Tribolium castaneum: one gene and its partners. The protein of the gene in region 2 interacts with the protein of the main gene of each other region in a pairwise test. Links are inferred from orthologs where the notes say so. Each region holds a gene or a part of one and is shown on either strand. Other genes may lie near its edges.

The links.
Region 1: the proteins of Cam (region 2) and Plp interact in a two-hybrid assay, tested with the Drosophila melanogaster proteins (2 studies listed by BioGRID). The link is inferred for Tribolium castaneum from reciprocal best matches to the Drosophila melanogaster genes Cam and Plp.
Region 3: the proteins of Cam (region 2) and potassium voltage-gated channel subfamily KQT member 4 interact in a two-hybrid assay, tested with the Drosophila melanogaster proteins (2 studies listed by BioGRID). The link is inferred for Tribolium castaneum from reciprocal best matches to the Drosophila melanogaster genes Cam and KCNQ.
Region 4: the proteins of Cam (region 2) and asp interact in a two-hybrid assay, tested with the Drosophila melanogaster proteins (2 studies listed by BioGRID). The link is inferred for Tribolium castaneum from reciprocal best matches to the Drosophila melanogaster genes Cam and asp.
Region 5: the proteins of Cam (region 2) and ck interact in binary tests that used the Drosophila melanogaster proteins (3 or more experiments, as listed by UniProt). The link is inferred for Tribolium castaneum from reciprocal best matches to the Drosophila melanogaster genes Cam and ck.

Annotation. Positions count from the first base shown.
Region 1 is NC_087399.1:2,047,191-2,053,255, forward strand, and holds the start of Plp (pericentrin), read left to right. Parts: upstream 1-2,252; 5' UTR 2,253-2,575; coding exon 2,576-2,599; intron 2,600-2,654; coding exon 2,655-3,566; intron 3,567-3,612; coding exon 3,613-3,740; intron 3,741-3,787; coding exon 3,788-4,244; intron 4,245-4,300; coding exon 4,301-4,417; intron 4,418-6,065. Other genes in the region: facilitated trehalose transporter Tret1, read right to left, coding at 1-1,320, 1,370-1,406.
Region 2 is NC_087397.1:1,842,442-1,848,515, reverse strand, and holds Cam (calmodulin), read left to right. Parts: upstream 1-1,304; 5' UTR 1,305-1,461; coding exon 1,462-1,464; intron 1,465-1,715; coding exon 1,716-1,890; intron 1,891-3,252; coding exon 3,253-3,495; intron 3,496-4,174; coding exon 4,175-4,203; 3' UTR 4,204-4,875; downstream 4,876-6,074. Other genes in the region: uncharacterized protein LOC660922, read left to right, coding at 5,831-6,035. UniProt on the Drosophila melanogaster protein: Calmodulin mediates the control of a large number of enzymes, ion channels and other proteins by Ca(2+). Among the enzymes to be stimulated by the calmodulin-Ca(2+) complex are a number of protein kinases and phosphatases.
Region 3 is NC_087403.1:4,839,339-4,844,401, forward strand, and holds the end of potassium voltage-gated channel subfamily KQT member 4, read left to right. Parts: intron 1-27; coding exon 28-87; intron 88-287; coding exon 288-448; intron 449-511; coding exon 512-598; intron 599-641; coding exon 642-712; intron 713-810; coding exon 811-938; intron 939-1,397; coding exon of another isoform or gene 1,398-1,525; intron 1,526-1,729; coding exon 1,730-1,826; intron 1,827-1,874; coding exon 1,875-2,206; intron 2,207-2,254; coding exon 2,255-2,412; exon of another isoform or gene 2,413-2,476; coding exon of another isoform or gene 2,477-2,514; exon of another isoform or gene 2,515-2,543; intron 2,544-2,873; coding exon 2,874-3,067; 3' UTR 3,068-3,688; downstream 3,689-5,063. Other genes in the region: Pef (peflin), read right to left, coding at 3,757-3,983, 4,075-4,420, 4,479-4,487.
Region 4 is NC_087402.1:360,191-366,235, reverse strand, and holds the start of asp (abnormal spindle-like microcephaly-associated protein homolog), read right to left. Parts: upstream 3,605-6,045; 5' UTR 3,473-3,604; coding exon 3,461-3,472; intron 3,406-3,460; coding exon 3,226-3,405; intron 3,180-3,225; coding exon 2,976-3,179; intron 2,811-2,975; coding exon 1-2,810. Other genes in the region: Tnpo-SR (transportin-3), read left to right, coding at 3,786-3,902, 3,957-4,312, 4,509-5,426, 5,476-6,008. UniProt on the Drosophila melanogaster protein: Required to maintain the structure of the centrosomal microtubule organizing center (MTOC) during mitosis. May have a preferential role in regulating neurogenesis. Required for germ cell mitosis and oocyte differentiation.
Region 5 is NC_087398.1:4,866,015-4,872,036, forward strand, and holds the start of ck (myosin-VIIa), read left to right. Parts: upstream 1-2,490; 5' UTR 2,491-2,965; intron 2,966-6,022. Other genes in the region: slmo (protein slowmo), read right to left, coding at 25-190, 240-271. UniProt on the Drosophila melanogaster protein: Myosins are actin-based motor molecules with ATPase activity. Unconventional myosins serve in intracellular movements: can function in cells as a single-molecule cargo transporter.

The DNA of each region.
Region 1 (6,065 bases), on a different chromosome or scaffold from region 2:
CAAAACTTCGATCCAGAAGCGCTTGTATCTCCTGCATGCTCTTCCCCTTGGTCTCCGGCAGGACGCAATAGACAAAAACCGCCCCCAGGGCGCAAAACGTAGCAAAAAACCAGAAGGCCTGCCCCATGCCCAGCACCTCAGCCAACGACGGAAAAATCAAAGTGATGGTAAAAGCCGCAATAAAACACACAATACTGGAGAAAGTCGAAGCAATTGATTTAACATTTGGCGGAAACATCTCCGCCATGACGGCCCACGGAATCGGCCCCAAGCCGATATTAAACGAGATAATAAAAACAACTAAACTCATTACTGGAAGCCAGGAGAGTGTATCGACTTGGAAACTGTTGCTTTTGAGGTAGAAATACGACCCAAGCGAAACAAGAGAAACACCTGACCCGACCATTGAAAATAAAAGAAGAATCCTCCGCCCCGATCTATCCACAAGCGACGATGTTAACACCGTGGTGAAGACCTGAACCGTTCCTATAATAATCGAGGAGATTTCCGGTGAAAGCCCGCTTCCTGTTGCATCGAAAATCGTCTGCAAGTACGAATTCACAGCGTTGATCCCAGCCATTTGCTGCAAAACCATCAAACCGACGGTTATAACCAACCCTTTGCGACTAGCCCTTGACTGAAACAACTCCCTCAAACCGCCCTGAGCCCCCTTAAGACTCTCCCTAACACCGACAATTTCCTTATCAACGTCCCGCGACCCCCGCAACTTGGCCAAACACGCCCTCAAGCGCCCCTCATCGCCCCTCAAGGCCAGGAATTGGGGCGATTCGGGGGCCCACCCCCCAAACAGCGCCAAAAACGCCCCCAGAGGCGCCAAACACACCAAACAGTAGCACTGAACGGTCAAAAACGGCCCCACGGCGTAGTCGAAAAGCACCCCAGAGGCGATAAACGTCGACATGAGACACCCCAAAGTGCCGCGGTTGCGGTCCTCGGAGATCTCCCCCAGGTACATGGGCATGACTGTGAAGACGCTCCCCGCCCCCACACCCATGACCAAACGCGCGATGTAGTAAAGTACCACCGAATGGGCGAAAGCCATGGTCAGGAATGACGCAATTATGGGCAAAGCCACGATTAGGAGCGTTTTTTTCCGCCCGATTTTATCAACAAAGAGACCGGTTAAAAGTGGGCCGAAAATAGCTCCAAGTGATAGTAAAGACGCGATTAGAGACTCCTCGGAAGGGGTTGGGGGTGGGTCCAGTGGGTTGTTATCGGGGTCCACACTTCCGTTGAGTCTCGGGAGGAGGGGGGACGCCAACCCGTAGGCAAGCCCCACAGTGAACGCAATCAAATTCGCTGGTAAAAAATTGGTTACGTTCGATTATGTGACTATTGGGGGACTTACCCACGCACGCGGTATAGTACAAGTAAAAACTGGACATTTTCGGTTAAATAATGACGCGAAAATTAAATGGGGACATTTATTAAATCGTGTTATCTTTACAAGCAAATCAATGATTTACAATGGTCTAGACGGATCAAGGTATTACAATAGTAATTTTTATTCATAAAAGACGCATATTTGCAGCTCAAATATTTGTTTGGTTATTGCGCAAGTTGTCCGGTTTGAATTTGGTGCGTGAAAATGACAGGTCACTTGACCTACCGGTGAAGATAGCACCATGAACATTATAGTCGACCCACCATACAGCCAAGTTCACACCAAGAAAATTAGCAAAATAATCGTAAATCATAAAAACATCAATAAGCTGTTACGATGACTTGTATATCACATTTGTAGAACATCTCCTGACCATTCAATTAATTTCTGCATTTTTTATTCACATATTCAAGCAATGCAAACTGATTTTTTTCACCCCCTTTTATCCCGCAATTTTCTTTATTTTTCCAGGAGAATAAGCCCTTTGATAGGGCCTTCGACTGTAAAAAAATCATGTTCGGACAAACACCCCTTGGGACCTTAATGAATTTTTAAAGATAAAGTTTACGAAATCGGGAAATTTTAAAGAATTTTTGTCCGAACATGATTTTTTTACAGTCGAAGGGCTTAATCTCCTGCAAAAATAAAGAAAATTGCAGGATATAGAGGGGGTGAAAAAAATCAGTTTGCATTGCTTGAATATGAGAATAAAAAATGCAGAAATAAAACGCAGTTAAATTTTAATTTGTAATAGGAACACATTAGAATGGTCAGGAGATGTTACAGCTTATTGATGTTTTTATAATGATTTACGATTATTTTATTAATTTTCCTGGTGTGACCTTGGCTGTAGAAAAAATCGTGGGTACAGTTGGTCGACTGTAATGTTCATAGTGCCAGATGTCGGCTCAATCGCCCAATTCCTAACCGTAAAATTTTCAAATTGTTTGCTTTTTGAGTGCCGTACTTCGTGTCATTTTGTACAATTAGGTGCCATTTCGTCCCAATTAAATTAAATAAAAATTCTAACGTCCCATTTTCCCAATTTGTCGCCAAACCAATCAATCAAGTCGCCTATAACAACAACAAACAAACTCGAAAATGTCACACTTGACGTTTGTTGCAATTTTATTTATTGTTTAATGGGTTAAAATAAACCTTTGTGGCATAATGGAGGGCGATTCGACCAATCGGGTAAGTGTCTTATTAATAGAACGTGCAATGTGGGCTAAATATAGACTTCGGCCAGGAGGGTGCCCCCCTTGGAGACTCCGGTAGTAGCAGCTTGACTCTGTCCCTAACCCCGCCTTTGTCCGAGACAAGCACGATCTCCGAGCACCTATCAAGCGTCGAAAACGACCGTTCGTTGCCAGAGCTGCTCGTCAATTTCCCCCCAGATGAGAGGATCTCACTGGAGCCCAAACCGCCATCCCTTAGTGATAGTTACACGAGTAGTTTCGTTAGTCTAAACGGGCTAGAGCGCTTCATTAGTACAAACATGGAGGGGCGGACACACGCTCAAAGCATCCTCGAGGAAATCCTAAGTAACGACCAGTTCAAGTCCGATTCCGACGAAAGCTTGAACATTTTCGCCAACGTGGACCTCGACGACAAACTCCTAAACAGTTACAACGCCGGCAAAAGCGTCAATTTCGACCTAAACGACGAGGTTTGCAAACGAGTCAAAGACTTTGAGGATTTGATCGCAGTCAAAAACACCACTATTGCCGCCCTAACTTCCGAACTCGACTCATTTCGCGAATTGTTGAGCAACACGTCGAGTCTGGGGACCACCACCACCGAGTACAAACAGTTCCAAGAGGAATGCCATAATAAGTTAGTCGAGTACCGCGACGCTATTGTACATAGAGACGAACAAATCGAAAAATTGACCAGTTCGTTACAACAGGCGATTTTAAATCGCGAAGAAATGAAACAACACTTTAGGAGCGAAATCGCGCAGTTGCAAGAACAGCTGGAAAAAACCTCAAACTTGCTCAAGGACCACAAAAAATCGTTTGACTTTGACGAGATTTGCGCGCAGTTTGAGCACAGTTTGGGGCCCCCACAGTTGGCGCCTTTCGGCGAGTTGAAGGCGGCGTTCGCTAGTTACGTGGAGATGAGCAAAAGGGCGCTCGAGAACGAGATTAGCAATCTGAAGGTTTGGTCAAGTCACAAAGTGATAATTTTTTAATGTGTGTTTTTAGACCAAGTTTAGTTCGGATAAAGCCCAGTGTGAGAGCGAGATTAAGAGCGAGTTGGACGCCAAACATTCGAAGGAAATGGAGGAGTTGCGGACCTACTTTGAGAAGAAATGCGCCGATTTGGAGAAAAAGTTTGTTTGATTTTGTAAAAAAATTTGTCGTAATTTTGCAATTTTAGTTACTCGGAGGAGGTGTTCAGTCAGCAGAGCCGCAAAATGTCCGAATCGAGTTCGTGTTCCGAGCTCAGTTCGGACTTTGTGGGGCCAGGGGGCGACACTAGAGTTGACTACACAAGGAAGGATTTGGTTAAATTGCGCCAGAGTTTGGTTCAGTTGATTAAAATTTTCGATGGTTTCAATTTGGAGGATTTGTCCGATTCCGATTTTGAGCGTCTCACGTCCGAAATTGGCAAATTTGAGTTTCGGAATTTGCTCAAGTTCGATTTAAGTCTCATGAAGAGTGAGCTGCAGAATAAGTATCACGCTGAATTGGAGATTTTGAGGGAGGATTACGATAATCGTGTCGATGAGTTAAACGTTGAGCATGAGAAGAAATTGAAGAGTTTGAACGAGGAAATTGACGATCTTAATCGGCAGTTGAGGGGTCGGATTGTTACGACTAGTCAACAGGAAGTTGTAAGTTTTGTGTTGGTTCTAATTGTGTTTTTGTGTACTAACTGCATGACTGTTAGGCGAATTCGGGCGAGTTTGAGATTGATGAAGTGGTGCAAAGCTATGAGAGACGGTTGCAAGAACAAGTCACTCTAGCTAAAATTGACATCATTGCTGCGTTAGAATTGCAGATACAGGTAGGTCGAGGGTTGTGTGTTGGGAGTACGGACTCGAAACCAAGTACAAAATCGCTCCAAATCGTTTTAAATTAGTCAAAAGACTGAAAAAAACTGACGACTAAAAATTATGGTTAAATAATGGTTAAAAATACAACAAAAATGTTAGAAAAAAATTGTAGAGTTAAATTCCTTACAAAAAATTCTACGAGACCAAGCCGATTTTAACAAAATATTTGACATCTTTACACTTAAAATTTTAAAACAGAGCTTGATTATTGACGAAATGTGGTTTTGCGGCTTATTTTGACGGAATTTTGCTCAAAAAACAGCTAAATCGGGATAAATTAACAACAATTTCAATTTATTTTGTGATTTTTAGCTGTGTTTTCAAAAGTTCTTGCAAAATAAATCAGTCTCAACCTAAAGAAGATAAGATAACATTTATTTCGAACTAATTCTGTAATTACTCATGCAATTTTACGTAAATTTTTCGAAAAAAATTGTTAGTTTCTCAAAGGCTAAAATAACATGACTTTTCGGCCTGTTTTTAATGAACTTTTCTGGAAAAAAGTGCGTTTTTGACTGGATAACGTGCCTGGAAAAGCCAAAAATAAGATAATTTTGGATTTAAATTGGTGATTTTTCGGTTCATTTCGGCGAAATCAAGGAGAAAAAACGGGGTTTTGGCTCTAGAACGTACTTAAATGTTCAAGAAAGGCAGAAATAACATTTTCTTTGATGAAAATTTATTGTTGTAAATGTTCTTGTGCGATAAATGGTTGAAATAATTTAATTTTCATTTACTTTCAGGGAATTTTTCTAAAAAAAAATTGGTTTTTATTCCAAAAATGTATTTAGAAATCCGAATGACGCAGAATTCACACAAGAAACTGGGAATATAACTTTAAACCCGTGTTTACTTGCTCGAAAAAATATAAAAAATAACACATTTTTCGACAAGTTATAGGTTTTTCGGTTTATTTTTGAAGAAATTTTGCTCAAAAACGAGCTAAGAAAGAAAGGAAGCCCAGAAATGTAGAAATAACATTGTTTTTCATTAAAATTTGTTGTTGTAAAAAGTTTTTTTACAATGAATGAATCTCTGAATGAAATCTGCTTGAAATAATCTAATTTTCACCGACTTTTAGCGAAATTTTTCTGAAGAAACTTAGTTTTTATCTCAAAAAAAGTTTAAAAATTCGAAAAAAAAGCGAATTCACTAAATTTTCAGTCTAACTTTGTGAAGTTTCGACTTATTTTTGTGCAAAGTTTTAAGATATAATCCCTCAATACACCGTATCAGAAACTCGAAAAAGAAAAAAGAAAATTTTATTTTTTTATATTTTTTCACTGTTTCTCCCAAGAAACTGAGAATATATGATCTCAAACACTTGTTTACTTGCTTGAAAAATATAAAAATAACATCTTTTACGACCAAACTTTATAGTTTTTCGGCTTATTTTTGAAGAAATTTCGCTCAAAAATCAAAAAACGAGTGAAACTAATCAAATAAAGCTTTGGCAGGATCTTACAAAATGGAGTTGAAATGCGACATAAGTTAAAATAACATCAATTTGGATCAAATTTCGTGATTTTCCAGCCAGTGTTAGCAAAATTAATCGAAAAAATGTTGTTTTGGTTTCAAAAATTGTTCATAAAGTTTGGA
Region 2 (6,074 bases):
TTTTGGTCGCAAGGTTACTGATAATCTTATCAATTTAAAGATCCCGAAGTGCTCTACAGATTCCTGCACAAATATTTTCCTTATGGTAAAACTACCGACAAGAGTAAACATCTCATAAAACACGAAATTGCATTATCCTGAACTTTAATATTAACCTTGATGAAATTTTTAATAACAGACTTCCGACAATAAAACTGTTTTTCAAGCATTTGCATTACGATCTTTTAGAACTCCCTTCAAATTGTTATGGGCATGTGACGTCACCGACCAATATTGCCAGTTTGGAGTATTAAACTGACGATAATGTAAATCTTTTTAGCAACGACTCAATTTTTTTCTAACAATTTTTATTAAAAAAAAAGAAAATGCGGAAAAAATTTCAGTTAATCTATGTGTCATTGTTTTACTAAACACATCTAAAAAAGTTGGCAATATTTATTTTGCATAAAGTGACTCATGGTACAGTTCCAGTCAGAAATTATGTCACGCGACTGTTACGCACGGGTGAAATTTACTGAACCAATATCAAGGTCACGAAAAATTTCAAATTGTGGATCAATTATGTAGAAATTTTAACTGAATAAAAAACTTCTAGTTATTAATTTGTTTTATTATTCCCATCACGCCTTCTGCATTCAAATTTTCAAAACCCTTGCTATTTATCGTGGTTCAAGTATCTCAAGACGCAATAAATACTTATTGATCCAACGCCTTGTTTCCACACCACCCTGTATATGCACCTTCCCGAATGCATTAATTGAATTAGACGCCAAGTTGCGCAGCGTGCTATGGCTGTCAATTTGCGAAAAAAAAGGCGATCGTTTTCGGACCCTCACACACCTCATGCCCCAAAGCCCTTCGCCGAACTGCTTCCCGGCCCCAATCAGGGGGCGTTTCCTTTGTTTTTCGTCGGTGCGCCACTGCCGCACCCGAGCAGCGTCGCCCCGAATCCGACGCATCACGCCGTTACTTGAACCACCGCGTGCACGGCTTGCTTGACGCATTGCAGGTACATATCGACCAATGGGAACGCAGCTCCGTACGAAAGTACGTTGTAAACAAGCCGCGCCCGACATTCAAACGTGGCGGACTCTCCGCGCGCAAAACTAGATCCGGGGCTTTGCGGCTTTGGGGGGCTCAATTTTGAAAAAGCGTCTTTGTGGGGGCTTGTGGCGGGTTCTCGCGAGGTTTGGGGGGGTTTTTGTGGCGCTGGGGGCCCGCGGGGGGCCTCGGTGGGGGCGGGCTGGGCGTAGGAATATTTACTCGTTGGTGTCGTAGCCGCACTATTGCGCTTTGGCGGTAGTGCTTTCGCAGCCCCTCCACCCTCCCATCCTAAACAAAACGAGAAAAGACACAGACGCAGACAGTTGGCTGGTGCACTTTGACGCGAAAAGTCGCAAGTGACAGTTGTTTTCGTGGCAAAGAATTGTTTAGAGTGCCCTTTTTACCGGAAATACAGCCATGGTAAGTGGGCCGGAGGCGGCCGAAGGGCGGCTTTGGGGCGCGGGGCTGCGGATGGTCGCGCTTCGCGCGGATATTTCTGGTTTGTGATGCTTTCGCAAATAGCTGTCAGTTGCCGTAAACCGGTAAATTGGTTTACCGCAATGCGGACAAATTCAATTTCGACGGCTATTTTCGACGGTATTGCTAAATTTCGACGCTGGGGACTTGTATCGATCTGTTGCTTGGGGTGTTTACTTTCTGATGGCTTGTAGGCTGACCAACTCACCGAGGAGCAGATCGCCGAGTTCAAAGAGGCTTTTTCGCTGTTCGACAAGGACGGCGATGGCACGATCACTACCAAAGAATTAGGAACTGTTATGAGATCACTAGGACAAAATCCCACGGAGGCAGAACTCCAGGATATGATCAATGAAGTAGATGCCGATGGTAAGATCAACTCGACTTCGATAAACAAACGACTGTTTTGACAGGGCTTTTTTCTATTGCCAACTTAACCGTGTGACCGTTAGGACCATCTGTTGCCAGTTTGATTATTTGCCTTCAACGTTTGTTTTATTAAGAAAAACGGAATGATGTAATTATTGCCAGATAAAACTTTATCGCTACATACTATTCAAAGTGTAACAGTTTGATCGGTTATTTTTTACCAACGTTGATAAACCGATAATGGACTGCATTGTTCTCAAATAGACTATACAATCGGTGATAAAATCGCAACTCTCGATAATCCCAATTAAAAATTCTTCATAGAAACAAACTTATCTTATCGCAAATACGTCATCGATATTTGGCTGTGACGGTTATTAATTAAATAGCAAACCCCAATCAAAAGTTTTTTCATCATAAAGTTGGTAACGAATTCAAAAAGTACGTTAATGACTAAACTTTGAGTAAGATGAGTAACTTATGTCCACAGCATGAGTAATTTCACCTTTCGGAAAAACACCTATGCATTGATTAGAACAATTTATCATTAAAAAAAACGTAGATAATTTCGACGAAAAGTAAAGAAATCGGTTCTTAAAAATATCGAATAAAACATCACTTTAATAATTTGACCCAGTGTTGGTTATAGGCCGCTGCTAGACACTAGAAAAATCGCCCATCTGTATGTAGATCAGCGTCGGTCGAATCGCATTAGCCATGAAATTACCCCGTGGCACCCAAGATAATTTGCGAAACAGCATTCATTTGTTATTCAATGACAGTTCGCACTCCTAAGCCAACGATGATGGTCCATAAAGGCTAAGATTACGCTATGAATTTTAATAGAGCGGACTAACTGTGTGAAGGAAAATGAAAATGCACAAGTATTGAATATTTCAGACGTGGATATTGTTTTAAAAAAGATAACGTTTGACTGAGTCGAGTTTGAACGGGAGAAAACCAATTTTTTCATGTTGCGGTTTTGTTTATCAAATAGTGACGGAAATTCCTGTTTTCTTAATTTATAACAATGAAGGCGTGAATGTTGACACGGATGCGTAGTGGCGCCGCCACTATACGAAGGGCTATAAATTTTTATAAATTGATTATTACTGCGCTCCCTGGAGACGCAAAGGTCGCAACTATTTGGAGAATTCTGGTGTGTTTTTCGGAGGATGTTATTTTCGTATTTATTGCTGTGGCAGCGCAATTTCGGGCCGTGTTCTTTGCAGTTTTAGTACCTTTTTAATTATCCTAAACTATCGAAGGATAAGTAAATTAGATTATTTTCCGTAATGCGATTCCAAAAATAACAATTCGATGTGGGATTTTTCTGGGTGACACAGTTTTTTGGGTGTTTAGGTAATGGTACAATCGATTTTCCTGAGTTCCTAACGATGATGGCCCGTAAAATGAAGGACACCGATAGTGAAGAAGAAATTCGCGAGGCATTCCGAGTATTCGACAAAGACGGCAACGGTTTCATTTCGGCAGCCGAATTGCGTCACGTGATGACAAACCTCGGTGAGAAGTTAACCGATGAAGAAGTCGATGAAATGATCCGAGAAGCTGATATAGACGGCGACGGTCAGGTCAATTACGAAGGTAATGTTTTTTCGGGTGTTTTGTGTGTTGTACATTTATCATTTTTGTCGGGTATAGTGTAGTAGGCTTGGGACGATCACGGGTCTTTGATTTTCGTTTGGGTTTTATGTGAATGTAGCTCTTTTTTTTTTGGTTTTATTTCGATATGTGTTCTAGGCCAGGAAGGTATGACTGGTAGTGTTCCTTTGCAGATTTCCGAGCTCTAGCTCTCATAGTTTTCAGTCGGTACTCAGCCACACATGCTTCGAGCTGGTCAGTTGTAGTCTTGCTTTGGGAATGTGCTTAGTGGCATGTTATTTTGTTACTGTTCTACCTATCACTGTCTTGAGCACTCTTTGACGATGTGTCTATTCGCTTTTTATGGTTAGAGTTGTTTTTGATTACCAACAGTGAAGCACATTTCCAAAAAACTTTGACTGCATCTTCATTATTGTCGTAGATACAATTAACAAAAACTAATTAAAACAATAAAAAAGTAATGTGCGCATTACGATTTCAGAAGTTTCTTGGCTAATACGAATGAAAATTATTCGTACCAGTAATAACGTTTCACTTATATCGATGTAGTGCACCCAACACGATTCTTTATTACGTTGGGATTATGTTGTGTTAGGTTTATTTTTTATTACTGAGGATCTTTTTAATTAATCTTGGTTTTTCTTTTCCTTTTTGATTACAGAGTTCGTTACTATGATGACTTCAAAATGAAGAGTAGAGCAGTTTGCATTTCAGCTTTCCATTGTTTCATCCCGGCCCATTATCTACAATTTCAACATCTTGAACTTTTTGCTTGGCTGCCGGGCCACTAAAGTGAAAAACTTAATCGTTATTTGATTTACAAGACAACTTTAATTAATAATAAATATTTATAAATTAATATAATTGTGTAAATTTTTGTAATATATTTGTTTGGAAGGTGCAACACCAAGCATCCTCTATACTGTTTCAACTTCTGTGCTACATGTCTAGTTGAGTCGTTCTCGTTATTCACAAAGTATGAAATTGTACTTATAAGTCGTTCTTTCGGTGTTAGTTTAGGGGATACACAGACTTAGAATACACTCAGAGTTTCATGTTTCATACTTTGTGATCCAAAAAAACATACATCTGTGCACTTAACTATAGTATGTATCCCCTTTGTTTTTATTATAAATGAGTCATTTGTTCAGTTGTCATCATCCCCAGATCTACTGTACTGTAGGTTTTACATTTTCAATAGGTAGGATTTTCCAGTGTATAACCAAATAGACACTTTTTTCGTCAGCCTTGTCATTTTTTATTGAACTGTTTTATTTATTTTATTTATAGATAAGGACTATCATCGGTTACAATGTGAAATTATTAGATGTTTAAATTTGAAATAAATGTGACTAAAAATTATTTATCTAGTGATTGTTTATCATCCCGTTATTAGATTATTACGGCTACATTACTATTACGATTTTTTATGTTAATACTTTTTCCTTATTTTAAAAATAAACAATTTAAAGCGATTTTCTGTTCTTGCCCAACAAACACCATAAAAAAGCAACGAACTGCCTTGACCGGCACTATCACATTTAATTAGCACTGAAAATGAGCGAGATAAAAATACAATATTAGCAAAATAGTGAGTGGTAAAAAAAAGAAAAAATTATAATAAACAATTTGCAAAAACGTAAATATTTTACCCGTTTAGCCGATCATATTGTAACAATATGACAAAAATTGCTTTAAAGGACTGTAGTTACGCTATCTGCCGGTAAGCCAAAAGAAAAACATCCTTAAAGAATAAAAATATGCATAAAAGAATAATTTAATCCAGCGTCCTTGAATGTTGGCCCATGATAAACGTTGAAAATGAATAATGACTATAATGAGGCGTTTTTTCATATTTTACTGCCCGATATGTAGACACGGACCGGCCAAGTTTTAATTAACTCTTGTTTCGCTTGATGAAAAATTCTCCCCTCGGCAAATCTATTGCCACCCCTCCTCACCCCTTAGTGATTAGCAGTAGGTCATCAGGTGCGCCACCACTGACCTACCGCGTGTGAGTAATAATTCCGCGCACCTTTTATAAATAGATGGATTCGTCCGAGTTGTTTCGCCGGATTCAAGTCTTCAGAAGTAGCGTCGTTAGCGTCGCGACGCCGTGACCGTGGATGCTACATCTCTAAAAATAGTGTCAGGTGTCGGCAATTACGTTCTTTACCTTAATGAGGCCTTATTTACGAATTGCCCGAATCAATTTGCCAAGGTAATATCGATTGATGATTTCATTTCGTTTGTAAAACATTGCGCCTGCCCTGCACATGTCGCTACATTTCAGACTGTTGTAAGAACCACCGTCACCATGAATCTGATGTTCCGGAAAAACTTCCGGGAGCAAAAAAGCGGCGTCGCGAGCAAAACTTCGAAAGCTTGTGCCAACAGACATGCGAGCAAGAGGGCCAGTCGGGAGCAGGGGTACACCCCCATGGAGGAGCACCACTATCGGACACATCTGTTCTTCAACCCGTCGAGATGTAGTTACGCTCAGGCGGCTGAAGACATGGACGGTACGCTTTATTCATGCTTTTCCCCTGAAAATACCGCCC
Region 3 (5,063 bases), on a different chromosome or scaffold from region 2:
TCTGTTTTCAACTTGCACGTTTACCAGAATTAAGTTACAAGACATTGATAAGGTGACAGAGAAGATTACGTCTATTTCTTCCGTTGTGTAAGTGTGCTGTACATACGTACTTAATTAAAGCATGTTTCTGCATGACCTGTCCATTATTTCTGTTTTTTGCCCGTTAATTCATCGTTAGTGTTACGATGAGTTAGCGAGCAATTTTTTAAATGTTTCGGGTAAGTTCTCTTCGCTCTCGTCTCACACTTCACTCTCCGTAATTTTAATTATTTCGTTGGTTATTTTAGACGAGTTTCGAGCAGTTTTAAGCACAATGCATCTTTTGTAAGTCGATTACCGACAATTCGTCGCCACAAAAGCACTTCACTTCATTCCCCGTCGATGCATAAAGGACCACCAAGAAGTGGTAGGAGTTTCGTGGATTTAAACGCATCAGCAGAAAATTTAGGTAGATTATGACAGTAGCTTTTGCATATTTGACCGTAAAATACAAAACAGTTGATGTTACCAGGCGGAGTCAGCAACAACGGATCGCGGAATTTGAGCCATAGCGAGGATTCGGTTGCAGAGACGATGCTTTCGAAAAAAAATTCCGACGGTAAATATTTCTGATTGGTTTTCAGGTAATAACTTTTTTTTAGATGAGGACGACGAGCCGAGATATATACAGTTAACGAATCAGCACAAAGGGGCAATCCGGGCCATCCGTAAGGTAGGCAGCTTTTACCTATTGCACTCTTATATGATCGTTTTATCACTCATTTCCATAGCGAACCAGCAATATTGATTCGATGTTTCATTATTATTTAGATGAAGTATTTTGTAGCAAGGCGAAAGTTTAAAGAAGCTTTGAAACCATACGATGTCAAAGATGTGATAGAACAGTATTCGGCCGGCCATGTTGATTTACTTGGCAGAGTGAAAAACGTTCAAGCTAGGTACACTCTGGTGTATTTCGGAGGTTGATTGTGTAGTTTTCCTTGGAATTACATAAATTCAATGAGTTTTGATATACAAGCGAGACGAGTGGATTTACTAAAACGAAACAACAAGTCACAAGACCAGTTTTGGGGTATTGTTTTGCCGAGTGTATCGTTTTACTCGCCACTCTGTATATCACATCATCCAATCAACCTTTCTAAGTGTCTGCCTTATTTGTCGTCTTCGACTGACGATCTGATTTTAAAAACTGATTGTGTGTGTGGCCGTCACTAATCACTAACCACTGACAAGTTATTCGCATGCTGACTGTGGGTCCTTTAGTGTTTGACACGTACATTTCTCATATGTGTAAGGCGTATTTAGGCAGAGGAAAAACTAGTCTATATTTACATATAATTAAATATATACGAGTATGTATCTAAAAATCATGTATGTTCCTCGCTTTGTGTGTGTAGCTCAAGTATTTTGTGGCACGAAAGAAGTTTAGAGAGGCCTTGAAGCCATATGACGTTAAAGACGTTATAGAACAATATTCGTCTGGGCATGCAGATCTTTTGAATAGAGTGAAAAACTTACAGTTCAGGTAAGATGCCTGAACCAAATAGGTTCTATTTATTTTGGAAATGTTTTCGAAAATGGAATTATGAGACCAGCTCTCACATGCATGAGTGTTTATTTTGCACTTTGCTGATTCACAAAAGGTCCCAAACTAAAGCTTGAGCATGTATATATTGTCCGCAAGCACGAGCCACCACATACTAAACGTTTAACACGTGCCCTATTACAGATTAGATCAAATCCTAGGGAAACAAGGCTCCAAGGCGAAAGATGTTTATGCTTCCAAAATCAGTTTAGCATCGCGCGTAGTCAAAGTTGAAAGACAAGTAAGGAACCACCCAGTTCTGTCCCTTGCTATTTTTCCGATTTTGTAGGTAGATGACATAGAGTCTAAGATTGACCAGCTTTTAGAGCTTTACATGGAAGACCGTAAACGCTTCCTCTCTCTTCCTTACATCCAGCCAAGCGCCGAAAAAAACACCACTTCCTCTAGTACAACCGTCAATCTATGTTCTTCAAACATGACAAATCCGTCGAGTACAATCCTTAAACCTAAACCAATACTTGTAGAGAAACAATCATCCGAACCAAGTTCGCCAATCACAAAAAGTTTTAAAGAACATTCAACGGCCGCAGTAACAAAACGACCAATGCATCGCGGATTTTCCGACCTCGGCAATCGGATTAAAAAAAGAGTGACATTAAGGTTTTGGCTATTTTTGCACAAAAGCGCCCCTATATCGCCCATTTGCAGTTCAATTTCGTCGAATTATGTGTGCCCACCGGATGGCATGTCCTACGACGGCGAAGTCGTGATTGTGGTTCCCCCCATCAACAACACGCCATCGACAGTTGGTGCTTCGGCACAGGAGCCGGACTTAGGGAGCCCAAAGACAGCCACAGAAAGCTCTGGTAAATGTTGTTTCATGCAAATCTGGTTTAGAATGCCCCTCTATTGTTTACTAATATTTTTCAGCTTCTTATGATGGTTATTCATCATCTACCTCCTTGTAGTGATGATTGCGGACTAATAAGTTGTTTCTGTGAGTTTAACGCAAATATCGTTGGATATTCTACGTTTACCTTTCATATAATGTGGAATGTGCATGTAGTAAATCTCAAACCGCGATCCGATCTAATACAGTTTTAATAATAAACCACCTACTTAGCCCCTCTGTAAACCACTGAAATAAACACTAACTAACAGCAGCCGTCGACGAAGATTTCGACATGATATTTAATATTTATTCTCGATGTTGAAATCTGTTCTTGGCCCTATAGTAACCGTTGTAGAGTATATTCGTCTGTAATGGCAAATCCTGTAGCGCAACTGCACAAATTGCCAAGTGATTAACACCGGTTTTTCTCTACAGGGGTGAAAAAGTTAACGAGAAATCGAAATTGTGAAGAAGATGAAGACGACGCAGCGGAGAAGCCGTTACTATGCCGTTCGAAATCAACAGAAATACTCATCACGCCAACGACTTTAGAAACCACCAGAGAAGAATTTTATGATAATAAAACTAATCAACAATCAAAAAACAAATTTTTAAAAGACGATGTATGACATAATTTAAATTTGTTATTAGTTTATATATTATGACCGTTAAATATTCAAAATAATGTAAATGATTATAGATTTTTGGACCTAAAACTTGCGAATATTTTTAACATGTACTGAACTTAGGGCACAATAATGACGCTTATTAATATAAAAATATATTTGAAAAGTTTGTACTTCTTCACTTAGGATTAAAATTTGCTGTAGCATGTTTTAGCTGTGATTTGTTTCGACGTTTTATACTGAAACTTTACAGGGACATTGGCCAATGCTTGTAGATTAATTCAGTTACGTTTCACAAGTGAATTTTAACGGCAACTTGTACTTACAACGACCACACTATAATCCTAACGTTTTTATAATATCAAGTAGAAAAAAACGCCTAACAAACAATCAACGACTTTAAAAATGTGCTGCTGAAATTCACTTTTAATCAGTAGACTATACTATAAAATTTAGCTATTTAAAAATGTACGTAAAATAATGTGATTAATTTATAGATACGACAGTAATATTTTTTGACCCGACCCATTGCCTACTGTTGTTACAATAAGTATTTGTTTGCTTAAAAATGATGTGGAACATCTATACTGTACGGGATTTTTAATAAAACATTTTAGAGACTAAGTTTTATTAGTTTTATTGTTCCTACAAAATTAACCCTAGTAATGGAATTAAACGAATTAAATAGTAAATCATGTGGAACAGTTTATCGCGACACTGAGAAAATCTTCAAATCCAATTGTAATAACCCCCTTCATTTCACTGTCCCTTGATCGGAAAGCTTCAGTGAACCGCTGGATTTGCACGCAAAGTACGATAAATTGGTCTACTGACATTTGTTTGTGGTTTTGAAGGTCGCTTTTAGCAATTAAAAATTTTACGAAATCGGGGGAAAATTTAAATCCCATCTGTTGCAACGCTAAAAATAAAATAAGATCCAGCAATAATTCTATTAACACCGACATTCTTTAAATATTTCCGGGAATAAATGTAGATGAGTTGAAGATTACCTTGGGCAAGTTCTGGCTCCTCAATGTGTCCTGACTGGTCCCTATCATAATTTTTAAATACAGCCAACCATTGATTAATGTATGCGAAGAGTTGTTGGAATTCGTTAATATCAATTGTCCCTGTCTTATCCCTATCAAACATCCCAATCATAAGCTTGCAAGCGACGTCTGAAAAATTCTTCCCCTGGCCATTGATAAGAGCACTTTGTAGTTCTTGCCAATTTATTTGACCAGAACGATCCTTATCTACTGTATTAAACCACTGCTGAACATCCGGAGTTGCAGCTCCTTGACCGTACCCAGGGGCAGCCCCACCAGGATATCCTTGGTATCCACTCCCGGGATTCTATTTAACGAGTAACATGCATAATACAATTTATTACAGTTCTCTAATAGGTACTTACACCGTACATTATGCTTGTGGCATGTACAATTACAAAAAAATATTAGAAATTAACGCACATTTATATAAACAAATAATCACCAAGAACTGTCAACTGTTAACCTCTTATTCTATGGTAACAGTCAGTAACAACGCTTCTAGAGCCATCTGGAGCGGAAATATCCTATTACCACAGAATAGCGCTACGTTTGATTTTTGACTCCGGAGTTATTAAGCTTAGCGTCAGAAAGCTCCTTTAATTGTCTATTAAAAAAAGACCATTGCCTTGCAACTAGGAGTTTTTGAGAATATTGCTAACAGAAGTAAAAATTGGTAAAATATATAGATATTTATAACTTGAAAACTAGGTATTACGAATTTTCGTATTTTCTTGAAACTAATTAATTTTCCAGATTATTTTACATACAATAGTTTTGCTGGAAGTAATTAACAAAATATAAAAAATAAAAATTTTCGAAGAAAATCTATTTAAATTTATTCCAGCTTATAGAGTTTGACGCACTCTTTACGATGGAATAAAACTTTTTGTCTTAGCTCTTTTGTTTTGGCCACAAACGGCTTTATTTTTTTTGTTATTTTTTTATTA
Region 4 (6,045 bases), on a different chromosome or scaffold from region 2:
TCCTTTTGTAATTTTGCGACTTTGTTGGCCCGAAAACGTCTCTGAATTACAATAGTATTTGTTTTCAACATTTCAAACTCTTTCTTCGAACGAATCATTGCAATTTTAGCCCTCCACTGTCTTTGGACGAAAATCGTAGCCTTTTTAAGCGCTTGGTACCGCCATTTCACCTGAACAAAAATCACAGCTCGTTTCAATCTATTAAACTGGTCCCTTGCTAGTTTCATGCGAACGTAACTTTGTACAAAAATCGTTGCATTCCGCAACATTAAAAACATCCTTCTGGCTTGTCTCCTTCTAAATTCTCTCTGAGCCACAATTGTGGCCCATCGTAAGTTCTTAAACCTTTCGTAAAGTAATTTCGTTCTAAAACGCCTCTGGATAACAATAGCTGCGTTTTTCATTTCCATGAAAAGTTTCCGTTCACATTTCGCTCTCCAACACCTTTGCACAAAAATCGCAGCTTGTTTCAACCGCTTGAAAGCTCTAAACTGTAACTTTGCCCTAACGCGACTTTGGACCCATTTAACTGTCTCCTTCAAAATTTGATAATTGTACAATTGTTGCCTCATTGCCAATTTCGCTCGCCACAGTCTTTGTACAAAAACAACACTTTTGTGTAATAATTTGGCCCGAAATCGTCTCTGAATCAAAATCGTAGCCTCACGTAAAACTTGGTATTGTGTTCTTTGGTTTCGCATAGCTAAAGTTGCCCGCCAACGTCTCTGAATGATTAAAACAGCTCTCTCCTGTTTTTCAGCTTTGAAAAACTTTAGCATATTTTGTAATTTTTCGTAGCGACGTTTGGCCAAAAACATACGAACGTAACGTTGGATTGTGATAGCTGCTGCATTTTTTGTTTCACGAATTAATTTCAATTCGTTTCGTTTTTTCACAATTGTGTCGCTTCGCCACCAGTTTGTTATCAATGTCACACTTTTAGCCATTAGGGGCGTTTGCAATTTGTGAATAATTTGCCACAAAAACGATAGAGTTTTCTCTTTGTGACCGTTGACTATGTCACTTGGTGTAATGTCGTAGAGAATTTCGAAACCCGAACGTTGCAAAGCCTCAAACACGATTTTCATGTTGTGGATTTTTTGCAATCGTGAGACTGTTGGAACACGCAGTTTTTCACTCAAATTATTTTGCAATAGAATAATTTCCATGACTCGTGTTAGTCTAACACCGTCACGTAAATCAACCCCGAGACACTTAACAGCGTAATCAAACTCATTCAAATAGCTCTGCTTATGTACCAAAGTGTATTGAAAGTGTTTCAAATATTTGGTAATATCGCCCATTGACGAAACCGTATCACGGGCAAAAGTCGTAAGAGCCGTTTGGCTCTCTTTAATTGGTGCGTTTTTACAAAACAAACACGGATCATGTGCTATCAATTTCTTGCTTTTGGCCCGGTCTAGGAAAAAAACCAACGCCAGGAATTTCTTCAAAATGAATTGTTTGATCTCCGATTTGTATTTCTCAGAATGGACGGAACGGTGTTTCTTTAATAAAACCGGGTCCCGCATAAAACGCTCCCAAAGGAAGCGAGTCAAGCCCCTAACATCCGAATTCGAATTTAGGGGAATCACCCGTCCGTAAATCGTCTCCAAACCAATGCGCAACCACAGAGGATTATAACTCAAAATCACTTGCATAACATCGGCCTGCAAACGCAAATCTAGATGTACATCACGGTCTTTCCGCAACGCAAGTTTGCCACAATCAATAATCGCGCCAACTTTAATCAAAACGTTTTGAATTTCGTTTGTTTGGTACAACGCCTTAGCGGCTCTCCTTAACGCGTTTAGTTTAGCATTGTTGTGAAACCGTTGCGAGACAATTTCCCTGGTCGGTGCCACTTCGATTTCTTTCTCCATACAACTTCGCCACAATTTGGCTACGTCTAAGGGATGACTTTGCGCATTTGAATCAAGATCCAAAGGTGGTGTTAAAACAGCATTGAGCCACTTTTTGAAATTCTCCTCTTGACCCTCTAACCACGTTACAACTTCCGGTTCGAAAACAACAATATTGCGTTGTTTGGCCCATTCTTGGGGGAATCCCAGATTTGGGCGTTTCGGTGATGTCACTTGAAACGTAACGTCGCTTTTACGCTTCAAGGGTGTGGCTTTCGGTTCGGTTTCTTCCCGAATTGTGACTAGATTTGTGTGATGGCATGACCACAAATCTGCCTCAATGGTCATTTTCACTCCGTTGCCGACAAGACTATCAAGGCGGCATTTTTTCGAAAAACTTGACGGTGAATTATCGGAAATGTCCGATTTGGTGTACGTTTCCGAGCTTAGGTTTTTAACATACGTTTCGCTACTCAGGTTTTTTACAATTTCGAAAGTTGTGTCGTTGAATAAAGTTTTAGGTTTGCATGTTAGAAGAAAATTATCAGTGTTATCGATCGATTTTTCGTCGGTTGAGCAACGTTCTGGATTGAAATCGATTTGATTCGATGGTGTTAATAAAAACGACGTTGATTGTAATCGACGTTCAAATGAAACGCTTGGTGATTTTACCACCGTTATGTTTTCTAAACTGTCGTCAAAAATCTCGGGGATGTTTTGATTTACGGTATAAGTATCTCGTCGTGTTTCAATTTTCGGAGATAAATTGAAATTTTCTTTACCGTTGAATTCACTTTCTGGAGGATTTACGGTAAATGTTGGCATGTTTGTAATGTTTGGGAGGATTGCTCGCTTTTGTGGCGATTTTCGCTTAAAGTTTTGGACCGGTGAAGTGTTTTTCTTGGCCACAAAGCGAGGGAAACGTTTCTGGGTCCCTTTCTTGCTTTTCTAAACCACAAAAAATATTGATAGTTTAGAAAATTAATTTCTTTAATGTGCTATACAAATAATAAAACATGGAGGTGTTATGACAATCAGCACTGCCATTCAACAAAAACAATCAAAGCCTACTCTAATCATAAAAACAAATGATCACACTGTATCTTTACTTACGGTCAAAGTGGCTGCTTTAAGAACGATGGGAACGTTTCGGCACGTCCCTACATCATCAGTAACACACAAATTGAACCTCCAAGCCCCTTCACAGGTGGGGGTCCAAACAAGTTCAAGTGTTTCCTCACTCTGGGCATCTATCCTACAGCCACCCCAACTCAAACTAAAATGAAGTTCTTCCGGAATTGTAATTCTCGCAATCAGCTGAAAAAATGGCTCAAATCCTGCCCTTAGAAACGAACAAACCTACTTCTTTTGCATGTCCTGTCGGATTTTTAATGACCAGATTTTGAGTGGCCGTTTGACCAATTTTAACATTTTCGAAACAAATTTTCGGATTTGGGGTGAAAGGGGCCAGTGATAAAACGGCATTATCTGGCTCGAGTTCCGGCTTTGGTTTTTTGGATTGTTGTCTAACAGGGGGCGAAAACTAAAGTTTGGTTAAGTAACTGACGTCCACTCAGAAATGATAAAACACAACTTACTTGCAAAAACATAGTCACAGGTTAAAATTATCAACATTAAAATAACACACAACAATGTTGGAGGCGATAAAACAGTTTCTTAAAAACTCTGTACTTGAGATGAGTTTTTTGATTCAAATGATAAACCGTCAACTTTCGCTCGACCAATAGAAATGGACGTGTTCTGTTGGTTGCCGGGATTGGAAGTTGGCAATCATGGTTATTTAGTAACATCCATTTTCTGGCTGTTGTTTTTGACGTTTGTGGACAGTTTACGAATGTATTTAATGTATTTTTACAATTTTGCTCATTTATGATGTGATATTGGGGCAATTTGCGTTTAGAAATGGATTCTAAGCCGAGTTTGAACTTGGTGTACGCGGCCGTGTCCGCTCTGTACAACAATCCGAACACAACCGAGAAAGAAAGAGCCTCGCAATGGCTCGGAGAGCTCCAAAAATCCGTAGGTTTTTCCGTAAATTTTTTATTTTGTCTAAATTGTAAGCTGTTTTTTTAGGTCCATGCGTGGACAATCGCCGACGAACTGCTCCACCACAAACGTGATCTGGAATCATGTTATTTTGGGGCACAAACAATGAGGACGAAGATTCATCACTCGTTTCACGAATTGCCAACAGAAGCTCATGAATCTTTGCGAAATTCGCTTTTGGAGCACATTAGTCAAATTAATGAGGACACTAATACTGTTATTGTGACTCAGTTGTGTCTAGCTTTGGCCGATTTGATTCTACAGATGCCCACATGGCAGCAGGCGGCTCTAGATTTGATTAATAGGTTTACAACCACTAATATGTGGCCCTTGCTGGAGATTTTGACCGTTCTGCCGGAAGAACTCGAAAGCCGGTCTGTTAGGTAAGTTTTATTTAAAAAAAGTTGGTTAACAACTCATTGGTATTCCATAATAAAATAATTATTATTTTCCTATGTTGTAAATTACATATTATGTCACTCATTATATGAAATAGTTTATTGACTTGATGTTTGGTCAAAAACCGAATTTTCTCAGCACTTTTTCGTGAATGGATTTTCCTCTATTTATTTAACTTAGGTTGGGCGAAAACCGTCGTATTGTGATGCTGGAGGACCTGAAATCGTGCGCTGGCACCGTCAACGACTTCCTCACTCATTGTTCCAACACTTACGGCAATAATTGGCAAGAAAACGTCCAAATCAACGTAAAAATTCTACGTTGTTTCACATCTTGGGTGTCAGTTGGAGCAATCACTCTAAATGATATTGCCAATAATGTGGTGATATCGCGTGCTTTCTCAATTCTAAACTATAAACCAGAAGGCGACAAACCTCAAAGTGTGGCCGGTTCGTTACACGATGCCGCCTCTGATTGCATTTGCACGTTATTACAATGCCTCGAAGACAACAACAATCAACAAATCCTCGAAACATATTTGTTCAATAACGTGATTAATTTGGAAATTGTTTATCACCTGTCGGTGGCAAACGAAGACCAAGAGAAGTCGATTAATTACTGTCGGATTTTTACCGAACTAGCCGAATCGTTTCTCGAGAAGATTATCAATAGTTGTAGCACGAAATCGTTTCATTATGCGATTAAAGTGCTTGATTTAGTTTTGATTTGTGTGGGACATCACGAATACGAAGTTGCCGAAATCACCTTTAATTTATGGTACGTCCTGAGTGAGGAATTGTATCAGAAGAATAGTAAAGAATTGACCGAATTGTTTCGACCGTACGTTGAAAGATTAATCACAGCGTTATGTAGACACTGTCAAATGGAACCGGATCATGAAGGCTTGCTCGAAGATGGTGACGATTTTAAAGACTTTCGATTAAAAGTCTCCGATTTGGTCAAAGACGTTGTTTTTATCGTTGGAAGTAGCAGTTGTTTTAGACAAATGTTTGTCAATTTGCAAGCACCAGGTGTTACGTGGGATTCCAGCGAAGCCGCCTTGTTCATCATGCAAGCGGTGGCCAAAAATGTCTTGCCGTAAGTATTTAAAACTTTTTGTTCGGATTTTGACTCGATTTTTTTGCAGGAGTGAAAACGAAGTCGTCCCGAAAGTAGTCGAAGCCATACTTTCCCTCCCCGAAACCACACATATCGCCGTAAAATACACCTCAGTCATGTTATTGGGGGAATTATGCGAATGGATCGAAAAACATCCAAATACACTTGATCCAATTTTGAATTTTTTGGTCTGTTGTTTGCCACAGGCCGGTGTTGGTGCAGCTGCTGCAATTTCCTTACAAAGTATCTGTGCAACTTGCAACGATCACATGCCACGACATGTCCCAGTTTTGTTACAATTGTTGCAACAAGTTGATACGTTTGCAATTACGAATAATGCAGTCATTGGATTAGTTAAAGGTGTTGCTGCAATTGTTGGTTGTATGCCACATTGTGATTTAACCGATGCGATGCGAAAATTGTGTTCAATGCAATTGAATCCGTTGTGTCAGCTTATAGAACAGGATGTGGTGCCAGTTAGGGGCACTAAAAGTGATCCGGTTTTGTGGTTGGATAGATTGTCGTCGGTTTTGCGGAATGTCAACGTTAGGCTTTATGAAGGTAAATTTTTAGAGCTAGGAATAATTTTTTTTCCATT
Region 5 (6,022 bases), on a different chromosome or scaffold from region 2:
ATTTGGGCATTTTATGTAACTTACGGCCTGTGCCCATTTGGGGAAGTACCAAATCGAGCTGACTAAGCGGTGGGTGTGGAGGACCCCGTCGACGACCTGGCGCTCCACCACGTCGGTGCCGATCACTGCCGGGTTGTGGGGGTTGGGGTACTTCCTCCAGGCGGCAGTGGCCACCGTCTCCCAGGGGTGACTGAATTCGCCGAAATTAGTTTAATTCCTCACGAATTTGCGATACTCACTTGAAAGTGTGCTCACTCGTCCAGATTTTCATCGTAGTTTAGAGAGACTTTATTTTAATTTAACACTAAACGAGATCACAGGACACAACCGCCTCTGAACTACTTGACAGCTGTGACGGGAATATTCCGCGTTGCCAAACTCGCGGTGTTAAATGTTTCTAGGATGAGGTCTGGTGGGGGACGGCGGCAAAGTTTGAGTTGGAAGAAAGCCAAAAAAATTTTAGGTGAAGGTGGAGGAATTTTAATGTTTGTGGAAGGGGGCGAAGTTCGGTGCACTATGAATTGTTTATTTTGGGATGATCGAACCAACTGTTGTAAATTACGCTCAAAACAAAGTCGAGGTTCCGAATTTGGGTTAGATAAGGAGTGATATGATAAGGTTTGCGCTAGGTTTTTTGGCCAATTTCGTATGTTTTTGGCTACTAGTCCTCAGAATTAACGAATTCGTGCACAAAAAATTGTTGATCGCACTTTCCGGAAGTCTAGAGTTTGTTTAATTGGGTTATTTATTTATGGCAAACGACCTTGGGAACACGATTCACACTTTTTCCATGATGATGTGGGCCATTAAAATTGTATCAAACTGCTCATTTAGTAAAGTAAAGATTTCCAAACCGATTCAGGTTTTTGCGAGTAAATTTCAAAAGTGAATCCAAAAATTCCAAATTCGATAGTTGTCTGAATTATGAAATTCTGAACTATGTAGCGCTTTTGCAAAAATCTAGAAACATTTTTTTCCCTTCCGACCTAAACATAAACTTTCTGATTTGAAGATCGGAGATTAACTGTTGAAAAAAAAAACTCGTAACAACTAGTTGAAAAATTACGTTATAAGTAAATTCAGACGTTTTTTAGTTTTTTTTTCGAATATTCCATATTTTAATTTTGAAATTGAAAAAAAAAATTTTATACGATTAAAAAAATGTACTGAAAATAGTTTTCAGGTTCCTCTTGTCTTTGACCCATTTTTTTTTCTATTATCATTTAAAATTTCCATTCAGTTAATTTTTAAAGATTAAATTTGATCATCTCGGGGCTTCCCCACAATTTGAATTGCGTTTTCTTCAAACGCTTAGCTAAAAAGTTCAGTGTTTATTGTTATGCATGGTGGAAAATTAGAGTGTACAATAATTTCTCGAAAAATTAGCTTTATTTTAAAATAAAAAAATACTATTTTTTGTAATTTTTCTTAAAAATAAAACGACATTAAATTACAAAAATTTTAGATTTTTTTTACCCCAAAATAAAGCTAATTTTTGAGAAATTATTCATTATTATTCTTCACTATCATCTGCACCATAAATAACAATAAACACTGAAACTTTTAGCCTGCATTTAAATAAGAATAAATTTTGAGACACCCTGTATAAGTCAGTGAAAAAAAATCCTGTTGCAGTAACTTTGCTAAAAAAAAGTAGATGATGTAAGGACAAAACATAAAAACGAAATTTATTGAAATTATTTATTGAAACATGCCATAAAACATTACAACAATGAAGAGATATGCCGTATGTATATTGTAATTGTTTGAAATTAGACAACAAATAGGTAAAGTAGGGTAAATTTATTTATTTATTCAATTTTTTAACTCTTCAGTTTGATTAACTGTTACCTAATGAATTAACGTTGCCATACAAGTAAAAATCGCATAAATAAAAACGAAAATTGCAACATTAGATATAATCTTTATCACTTTACAGTTATCCGTTGGAATTTTACGAAATTCTCAATAATTTGAGACTGAGTCGTAATTAGAGTCCAACTTTTTGCTAAATTATCGTCGAATAAATCTTTTATTCGCATTTTACAATGCAACTTTTTGGGTTTAACAATTTTTGAGGTCCGGTTGAACTTTCTCTGAGTGGGCGATAATTTTTATCAAAGATCACAAAGTAAAGAAACATTTTTTAAAAATGGAAATTTAGTGAACAAAGAGAAAAGACGTAAAAAAGACAAAGCGTTGAAAAACAGGCACAATTCTAATAAAATAGTTCATTATAGTTCAAAACTGGGCATAATATTAGTTGTGGATTTAAACATTGTTACTACATTCATTAGAATTAATGTTAAACTGACCGAAAAAAGTTTTAATACATTCATCTTCAATCAATAAAATCCTTAACTTTTTTCGAACACTTATCTGTTCGCCGTTATCTAATAGTTTGAGCGCACATCGTTAGAGGGTGCGACCTATTAGAAGTCCCGACTTCCTAACCGCCTCCCTGACATAAGTATCCCATCAGCCAAATTTTTCCCCACTCTGGTCTCACTTCAAAGCGAATAAATCTTTCGCCTTTTACTAAAGATTTCCGTGGAGTGGGACAATACAAATGAGTCTATGACAATTTTTTGAGGCCCGGTTGGAGTTTCTCCGACTGGGCGATAATTAAACAAAGCATAGAGCCCCCCAACCATTACTCAAACTTCAAATTGACTCAAAATTTTGAGTGGAGGATGACTCACATCGTCATTGAGGTAGTCGAACCCGTGACATTGCCCGTGGTGCCCTCTACAGTCACCTGCCTCCTCCTCAACTTCCACACCTGTCCGTCGATGGCGCTGCCTCACCTGGGCGCAAGCAATTAAAGTAACAGAAACTTGACCATTTGGTGATAGTTGAGTGCGGCGGAACGTTAGTACCGGGACCTGATGAGGTGTTAGTGTCGCGTTGTGTGTCCTCTTCAAATTACCCAACATTATGTTAAGGATTACATTGTAAAACCCAGGTAAAGTCCCAACTTCTTTCCACGTCGCGCTTCTTTACGGCCAGAGGCATCTTCACGCTCTACCATCCTCCGGAAAGAAGTCGAGGAAAGCGAGTTCGCGATGGAAATCCGATGGCTTAGGGATTGGGAACAGGTGTCGGCTCAGATAACAAGTTTTTTATGATGAGATGTTAGACATTCTTCGGATTTACCGGTACTTTGCCTTAAGTCCACACACATTCCGCTATTCTCTTCTTGGACGCCGTGTCTTGTAAATACTGTTATCTATATGGTTTATCATTGTTTAATGCAAACAATTACTGTATGTACAGTAAGCTGTTTTGTAAGCGGTCACGTGGACGGGGCAGATCCGGGTAATTTGGGCAAGGAATTTGCCGGGGTTCGATACGCCTACTTTACCTAGCGTGAGCCACAGGTAATTTACCTGAACCCACTGTTGCCATTCCAGTCAAATTTCTGCTAAATAAACGCCAATAGGACATTAATCGCTTCGCGGAGATAATTACCATCGAAATTGTTTGTATTAACACCGTGACAATCATTGGCACAACAATGGCTTTTATTAGTACCATTCTTCGTGGTACTTCATTTTTTAGTGCTTCCTTACGTGTTTTTCCAGTTTAGATTAAATAATAAGAAAGGATGGATTAAATTTAACCCAAACAATAAAAGTACAAAACAAAATAAAAAATAAAAACACATTGGTACTACTTTAAGACAAAATAAACAAGAAATGAGAAAACTCATTACGGTGTACACTCACCATCAAAAGAAATGGCGAAGGTGTGGCCTTGCATCTTAAACCGTGTGTTAAAAAAGGACTATTTCATTTTTTCCCTGTACTGGGACTATAATAACAAATAATAAAAAATGTAGATTACTTGACAAGGGTCAAAGTAATCGCGAATTGAATTTGAGTAAATAAATCTGGATCTAGCGATATTTTTTTATGTATTTTTTGCACAAAACAATGTTAAAATATCGTTTTACAATGTGGATAGAAATAGTTTTTTTGGGTGTTAGTTATAGTAGTTATTATATTCAAAAATGGTTGTTCATCAAGTCACCTATGAAATTTGAGCGTAATGTGCCGCTTAATTTAAATTTTGAATGCCGTATCCAAGTGACAGCTCCGTCAAAATGATCCAAAAAGGCTTCGAATCCTAAAACGAAAGAATACACAACAACAAAAAACACCGAAATAAAAAAAAATAAAAAAAGTTATGAGTCCTAATGACCGTGGACAACGGATACAATTTCTTCAAAAAATTTTTTATCAATTTCTGGCGTTTTTGGCAGTATAGATAATTATAATATAATGATAGATTAGTAATAAATGAATGAATTAATATTATCTAATTTTGGGAAATAATTTGTATAATTATTATTACAGTACTTAACTTCTTCAAAAATATGTAACGGCATTACTGATTAAAGGCTAGGCATTTATTGGAATTAGAAAAAATATACCCTTATAAGAAATTGTAAAAGTGCACAGAAAACACCAAAAAATATAATACAAGAAACAAAAAAAAGATTTATTTTAATACCTATTTTCCTATTGATTTCTTCATTTTATTGTGTCAGTTAATTATTGACTTTTAATTAAATGTTAAAAAAACAAAAGAAGGCTGTGGAATTTCTTTTGACATACCTATCCCATCCAAAGCACCAGCGCATTTTTAAAAAAGAAACAGGTCATAGTAGGCAGCTGTCACTTTTCCACGGGTGGGCTGATCTTATTATGATAATTTCTGACAGTTACGAAAAACAGAACTTGGATAATTGATAATGTGAACGAATTTTTGTATTTAAAATCATTCTCGTGTCGTTTATTAAATTGAAACGGAATGTAGCAGAAGATATTTCTGTTATTTGCCGGTGACAATCTAATTAAGTTAATCAGCTCATAGCTAACTGAGACTATACCTACCGTGCCTATAAATTAATTGCAGAAGATTTTTAAAGTTCCCGACTTTCACAATACTTCTAGAATGTCACAATTTGCGCTTATCAACAGCCACGAGACACAAGCTCCATTGATACAAACAAATATAAATAAAGTGTATAGAAAGTCCGTTTTACATTGCAAATTTAAATTATTATTGGAGTTGATAAATTTTCTTATAATCTACTAGACACGAGATTTCTCTCTTATTCTATAAGTAGGATATTGTAGTCTGTGATTTCCTTGACAAAAAATGGAACCATATCGCCACCTGACGAAACATCGTAATAAATGTAACGTTATTGTTGTAAACTTGTAAATTAACTGTAAAGTTTTAATGATGAAATGAGACACCTCTGATAAGAAAATGGTAAATTGGTTTAAAAACTTAACACTTCAACAGCATTTTTGCCATTCCTTGACCGTCACCATGACAAGAAATAAATTTTTATAGACACAGTTAATTAAGCGTCACTCGTCAATACGCTTTATTAGTTGGCTGTGTTAATTTGACATTTAAAGGTCACCGCGACTTGATGCATTTCTTATTTTAGGAAAATTCTCTCATCGCTGGGGAAAACATGCACGAAATTGTTGTTTGATTTGAATAAAAGTGGAGAAAGTGTCAAAATTTTGCAATTTGTGTGAATTACAATCCTTTCGAATGTAAATTTCGACCCATTTTGAACCTTTCTTTTTGACACTCTCTGTATAAATCGCCAACTTTGCAGACGAAATTTCCCAACTGCATTGCGAATTTTCGCGGAAGCCATATGCCAGCGAACGCACTATATACAGAGTGGTGCTGGATGACCGTTATGATTCGACTTTCGTCAATTGTTCATTTGTGACCTTAATTTAATTATGTCGATGTTAATCGAAAACGGTGTCTAAACCGCTCATCTCTCACGCTGTCCAAAATTAACAATGAAACCGAAACACACTACTCCAGATTGTACCTTACGTAAACATTACACGTTTTCCATATCTAAGCATTTTTTAATGAATGGAACAATGAGAATTTTCCTTTTTTTCGCGAGAGATGAGCCATTGTATGCAATGAAATGTGGATCAGTGTACAGTGTGTTAAAGTAGAAAGTAGAAAAAAG